Linked DNA regions of Daphnia pulex. The protein of the gene in region 2 purifies or fractionates together with the protein of the main gene of each other region. This does not show direct contact. Links are inferred from orthologs where the notes say so. Each region holds a gene or a part of one and is shown on either strand. Other genes may lie near its edges.

The links. Proteins that work in one complex are often made in the same cells at the same time.
Region 1: the proteins of multifunctional methyltransferase subunit TRM112-like protein (region 2) and alkylated DNA repair protein alkB homolog 8-like purify together in Homo sapiens (co-immunoprecipitation; 3 studies listed by IntAct, with this or other methods). This does not show direct contact. The link is inferred for Daphnia pulex from reciprocal best matches to the Homo sapiens genes TRMT112 and ALKBH8.

Annotation. Positions count from the first base shown.
Region 1 is NC_060026.1:6,039,398-6,043,545, reverse strand, and holds alkylated DNA repair protein alkB homolog 8-like, read right to left. Parts: upstream 2,808-4,148; 5' UTR 2,562-2,807; coding exon 2,210-2,561; intron 2,136-2,209; coding exon 1,652-2,135; intron 1,589-1,651; coding exon 1,322-1,588; intron 1,249-1,321; coding exon 1,097-1,248; intron 1,027-1,096; coding exon 874-1,026; intron 810-873; coding exon 415-809; 3' UTR 388-414; downstream 1-387. Other genes in the region: tRNA pseudouridine synthase A-like, read left to right, coding at 76-321.
Region 2 is NC_060017.1:6,066,941-6,069,657, forward strand, and holds multifunctional methyltransferase subunit TRM112-like protein, read left to right. Parts: upstream 1-1,336; 5' UTR 1,337-1,419; coding exon 1,420-1,497; intron 1,498-1,558; coding exon 1,559-1,660; intron 1,661-1,740; coding exon 1,741-1,833; intron 1,834-1,888; coding exon 1,889-1,990; 3' UTR 1,991-1,995; downstream 1,996-2,717. Other genes in the region: uncharacterized protein LOC124191043, read left to right, coding at 176-218, 283-375, 441-916; tRNA-splicing endonuclease subunit Sen34-like, read right to left, coding at 2,046-2,383, 2,473-2,717. UniProt on the Homo sapiens protein: Acts as an activator of both rRNA/tRNA and protein methyltransferases. Together with methyltransferase BUD23, methylates the N(7) position of a guanine in 18S rRNA.

The DNA.
Region 1 (4,148 bases), on a different chromosome or scaffold from region 2:
AATCAATATTTTAAAATCATCTTTTTTTAAAATCTCAGTGATGATTATTGAGCGTTATATATTAATGCATTTTAGCCGCACTACGATAGCTATAATCGTCGTTACGGGGGTGATGGAATCCATGAAACTTTAGACTGGAGCTCCTTTGATAAAGACATAGAAACATTCTGCGGTGATTTTATTCTGCCAATTATTTATAATGGCGAGATGGACATTCAAAACGGTTCAATGATAACTTGGTTATTGACATGTTTACCCATTCATACTTACGAATTCCCTCCCGACTCGAGTGAAAAAGTTACGGATTCCACATTGGAATGAAATCTTGCTCAGTTTTTAGTTCTGTAATAGCATTGATGAAATAATTGCTATGAACGAAATTAAATCTGTCTTTTGTACCAATGTTCTATTCAGCTATTCTTTCTTAAACTCAACACACCAATTACCTTGATCATAAAAACTACGACAAACAGTGATATTCGAAACCCTGGAACATAAATATTCTAATTCACCCTCCTTAAATACGTGATAAAATCTCAGGTAGGTAGAAGGATTTGACTCAGAGCTTCCTCTATTCTCTAAATCTTCGGAATTAGAATTTCGGAAATTAAGTTTCCATGGAACAAGAATATCAGCATGCTTGAAATTTGTCCGATTTTCGTGTACCGGTAAAACCGCTGTAGGATATGCCTCTGCTCTACTAGATACCTCACTCTTTTTTTGAAGCAGATACGAAGATTTTTCCATTCCTATTTGTTGGTCTCTGGCCCAAACATATATTAGAGCTCGACCACCCTTTACCAGCACACCTTAAAAAAAAATAAAACAAGTTATAAAATGGAATAAAGTATTTAAAATGTGGAAGTAAGGTACGGCTTATATCAATCAGCGTTTTCAAACGACGTTCATCGGTTGTCAAATGATGAATGACGGCGATACATATCGCAGCATCAGCTATACTATCTCGAAACGGCGAAACGCGACAATCAGCTTTAACAACCTGATGATCATCACGATTCCTGCAAACTAAAATGAAATAAAATAGTTCATGTGACACCTAGGAAATATAAAGAGATTTCGATTGTTAATCTTCTACTTTTTAATAGTTGACTTGATCGGTCAGTTCCAATACTAAACAATGAGCTCGAACAGTTGAAGTATTTGCCATTTCCGCAACCGATGTCTACTAGCAGTGACCCAACAGGAAAACTCATTATAAACGCTTTTACGTTCGGCCACGGCGAATGCCTTAATCATTTATCGTTAATGGGAATACACGTATTAAAAGAATGATCTATACGACTATGATAATAAATAATACCTTGTTTCACTAAAATGGGATGCGATTCCATCGTAAACATGAAATACATGATTTTTTTCGATTTGGTCAGCGGCCTCTTCTGAAAAATCTACGACCTTTGATGATTGTGAATCACACCATTCGGTAAATTTACAATCGCATTCCGACGTCCGTATTTTACGAAACGTTAAAGACGTCCGCTTTTCTCGCCGAAGAATGGTCAAGCCTCCAAACTCGGCATCAACTACATCAGATTTTCGTGGCGTAATACCGTGACTCCACATGTATCTAAAAATTGAATCCAATGTTTTGGTGATTTGACGAAACAATGAAGTTCTTATAGACATTTACCTTGATTCGTTTGTCATTATTAAGCACGAACGTCTTGGCAAAGTTATACTGACACATTCTCCACCTTTATTATTTTTGAAATCCATAACAATATCAGAACCCAGTGATACACTGATAATTCCATCTTCAAAGGAACTATGTGTGTCTGTGTGAAGAGGTATCCCTTGTCCAGGTACATAATGATTGACAGTCAACTGATTTGGTCTCACCAAACCAAATTCCATAAATTTTTCTACGAGTGGCTCCATTTCAACAGGTATTCCAGAAGATAGTGGGTTTTTGTCAACTTTATTACTACCATACAGAAACTCAAAGCCATAATGCTTCACTGTTCTATGTTTAAGCTGTGAAGTCTGTGATTCAGACTGCTGAGTATGGGTAAAAAATAACAGTTTTTCTTCTTCTCCCAATGAAATAAAATTTTTCTTCAATTTAAGTCCAGTGGGCCAAACCTTTGAAGTTTCTTGGAAACTTAATAATGTGTCTAAATTCCAAAATGAAAACAAACAACTTAGTACTTACAAAATGCTTTATACTGCTATTGCTGTAAATCCTCACCATCAATACACTTCAGAAAACACAAGTACAGAGGTTTAGATTCATCCTTCAAGCAGAAACTTCCATTTAGTTTCTGGTAGCTTTCAGCACTATTATTTTCTTTCTTAAAGCTTAAAACACAATAAGATTTTCCTTCTAACATTATCAGATTTTCAACTTCCCCAAAATGTTCAAAAATATCCAATATTTCTTCTCTAGTGAATCCATTTAATAAACCGGCATTTATCAGACATAATACATTGGTAGGTGAGGAAGAAAAATTATCTAGCAAGTTTACTGACATGTCTTTTGATAGATGAGCACAAAACCTGACAATTTTTCTGGCAATTTTCTTCCCATTAACTTTTTTCATTTCTATTTTTTGGGAGGGGTGGGGTGAGTTCAAATAGGCCAAAATATCAGTTATTCAGTATCAGTTATATTTTATATATTATTTTGTAGGCTGTTTGAGGGCATCAGAAGCAGCACTTTAATTCATTACAACTTCGGCGTTCGGCCTTCGAAACTCTTTAAAAAAGCCTTTAAATTATTATAACTTCCACAATCCGCGAGTAAGCAAGTACGGCTTGCAAATACGACTTGGCCAAGAAATATCGATAGAAAGAAACGGGTCCCCGGTCCCGGTATTCAATGTGCGTGGAACGTGGATCGTGGACCGGTGAGCCGTGGAAAAAGCGCCGTGGAAAGCCTAACTCCGCCCCCAAATGGGGGGAGCCAACTCCCGTGGAAATAGCCGGAGGCACGGTATTTCGTGGAAAGTGAAATCGTGGAATTTGATTTTTTGAAAAATACCTCCCCACACAATGCTTGGACAACACGGTACTTCGTGGAATGTATAACATCGTGGAATTGTCCCCAAAAGCCCCCATTATTTTAAAACCGTGTTATGCATGAAACACAATGATGTAATTAATGATGATGAAAATGGTTATTATGTGAAAACCAATAAAACGATGTACTTGTTGAGGATCAGAAATGGGATTAACGGGAACAATGTAGAACCGCAACCCCCCCCAAAAAACATAAATTGAAATCACAAATTCTCGTATCATTAGAAAACAAAACAAAAAAGAGACTGGCAGAGCAAGAGCGCGCGCGCAAAATTTTTGAAAAAACGTGACTCCCGTGACTACGTCGCAGTCGCCCAATGCCAGTGTGATTTCATAAATTTACCCAGGTAGCACACAGAGCTGTTACAGACTCCTGTAACCGATCTGTTTCACATACTTGTGAAACATTACCCGTAGAGAAACGGAAGAAAAATCAAGCATTGAGCAACTACAAGCCGTTAAGAAATTTATGAAGAAATAAAAGAAATTTACAAAATTTGCTAGATGGGCTTTATGCCTGCAAGTTTGTGATATTGTCATGGACTAAAAAAAAATCTGGAAAACAAAACGAATAGCGAACGGAACCTACAGGATTCCAGATCCCTACGACAAACTGAAAACGCAACCTGAGCAGCCGCCAGCGAATAACGCGTTATCAAACATAAACTTCGCAGATGAACAGGAAAATTTAAAGTACTGGTAATGCGCGCGCAAAATATGAGAAATTACAAAGAAGAATAATAAGGAAACAGAAACGTCGATTAAGGACAATGCAATCGATGACAGCCCCTTTGACAGCGACCAAGTACATCTTTCAGTTAACGACGTCTTCAATGACAACGATTAAATCAATGAGCTTGACAAAAGTTTAATCGACACACAAGCTGACAGACTACTGGTACAGGAATCCGCAAAGACAAAAAAAGAGAAAGACAACGGCACGGATTCAACTTAGATTTTATTGGAACTAATTGGTAAATAAATCAAACAAAATCGTTCGTGGATACGAGATCAGCATCAAAGAAAAGCAGAAGAGCAATCCAAAACCTTTTTTACCCGATCCCTTCCCCCAGATGATGTCTATCCAACTTGGTTACAGACTCATGGGC
Region 2 (2,717 bases):
CAAATCAGGGATTTAAATTTTGAACGTGTTCCATCCTTTCAAACGTAGGAATCGTAATGCTGGAGCAATTCCCAAACATTTTCTGATAAATGGTATTGATATTACATTTCCTGTATAATCTGTAAAGCACAGAAACTGAACCATTTTCATTTTAGATACACCTAGTCGACAAGCAATGCAAAATGTTGATGGTTTCAAATGGAGAAATAACATTAATGGTATTTTTAAATATATTTATTTTGTTTAATATCAAATAACGCAATTCTTAAATATGTATTGTAGTGGAAACAAATGCTAGCAATGCATCAGTAAGGAAACGACCAAAAGTAGACAAAATACCTACTACGTCTAAGAGAAAAAAATTTGACAGTACAGGTATTGATAATAGTTCTCGTTACATTTTATTTTTAAGAGCAATTGCTTTAAATTTTATCTGATAGCACCCTCCATGGAAATTACCTCTACTATTAAAGAATCAATCAACATTCCCCAGGCTGCTGAAGAAGCAATTTTTGATCCACTTCCAGATTCAATCAAGGAAAATCTTGCTGTTGTCATGGAAGATACGACAGTTGCATCACCTTCTGTGGAAGCTACCTCTACTATTCAAGAATCAATGGACACCCACCAGGCTGCTGAAGAAGCAATTTTTGATCCACTTCCTGATGTTATGAACGAAAATGTTGCTGTTGTCATTGAAGATTCGACAGTTACATCACCTTCTATGGAAGCAAGCTCTACTAATTTCAAGTCTAATTTTGTGACATTTCAGTCACTAGTAACTTCATCAATGGTACCAAAGAATTGGACATGGTATTTTGATCAAATTAAACAAACGATTTTTTGCATTTCGATGGATCAACTACCAAATGAAAATTATAATGTGAAAAGTGTACACTTTCAAAACAAGAAGTAGTGTATTATGTCAACGGAACAATAAACAATTTACACAACCAAACAATAAAATGTAAGAATGTTTGGACACTTACAAAGAATAAACAATTTACGCAACCAAACAATAAAATGTAAGAATGTTGGGACACTTAGAAAAGACCTAGAGGTTTGACAGTTGGATACTTCTACCTTTTTATTTTGTTCACTTCTTGTAGAAAAGTAAGCTGTGATTGGTCAATGAGTTTTTCATAGACCCTTCCTGATTGGCTGGCTTCACGTAGTACCTGACACACTCACTAGAGGCGCTCATCATTTTTTCCAAATCGGACCACGTTTACCCTGAAACCGGGATAGGGAAGCCAACACGGCCGAGAACCGACCAGGTATCTATTGCTCTGGCTGGGGTGAAACCGTGAAAGCAAAAATGTAAACCCCGTCCGGCACGGCAGCGGTTTGTAGAAAATTTGTTTTGGAAAACACACGTGTGTTCGTCTGTCAAGAGCTCAATAATTTAACGAATTAAGAATGAAACTTTTAACTCACAATATATTGACTTCTAAATGTCTGAAAGGCGTAACAGTTGGGTATCCTCTAGGCATTGTTGTAAGTACTCTTTGATTAATCATTTTTTTTACCAAAATGAAATACTTTATATGTTTTACAGGCAAAAGAAGTTAAAGTGAATGAAGTTGATTTCAACCCAGAATTCATTTCACGGATGATTCAAAAAGTGGACTGGCCAGCTCTCTGTAAAGCTGCAGAAAATGTAAAAAGAAATCACGATTTGAATGCTACCCTTTAAAAACGGTTAAATATGTGTTGATTTTCTGTTTCTACATTATCTAGCTTGGACACACTGATGAACTTCCCCCAACTGTTGTAGATGACTATGAAAATAATGAAGAATTCTTGAAAAAAGCTCACCACTTTTTAATGGAGGTAATAATCTTCTTATTTTATTTATGTTCCATTTTTTTATTTACCATTTATTTAGATTGAAGTCATGAATGGAGATCTGATATGTCCTGAGACAGGGAGAAAATTCCCTGTTACTGATGGAATTCCAAACATGTTAGCTAATGAAGATGAAGTGTAACTGAAGTAGAAAATACAAGTCAATTCAACATGTGTCCAATTTTTTAAATAGTGCTTTATTTTCCATTCCAATTCACAGACTGATAATTTACTTTATCATTCTCATCCAAGCTACACATTAAAACAGTTTTCTTAACACTTGTTCCCAGACGACCTTTTTGTATCAGAAACCAAGGAGTCAACATCTGATGCTCTTCAACACACACAGCTATGAAATGTGAATGAAATTTTAATGGATCACCAGGATAAACCAAGTAATCACCACCAAATTTCTCACCAGATGTTATGTAATAACCTTTCTCCCACAAGTCACTGAACACTTTACACCTGAGAGTTGGTCTAACATTATAATCTAATGGCAATACTGATTCCCCCTGACATGTCCAGTGAGGCCCTACAACAAGAACAAAAAAGTAGATCATTCAAATGATCATTCATCACAACATTATTTATCTGATAAAGACTGATAATATTATTTCTTACTTGTAAAAATTTGAACCATCATCAAATCTTTAGACATTTTAGGAATTTTGTCTATTTCTTCTTGAAGGGCTATTTTCTCATCAACAGTCTTTCCATTCATTTTTCTTCTCTTGCCCTCAATGATTTTATCTGCCATTTGTAACAGCTGCTTGGTTCTTTCTTCCTTAAAGATAACTTCTTGGTCAGCAAAGCTTGCTTTGTGCATTTCCTCTATTTTCTCCTTGTTTGGTCCTTGAGCAGGAAGG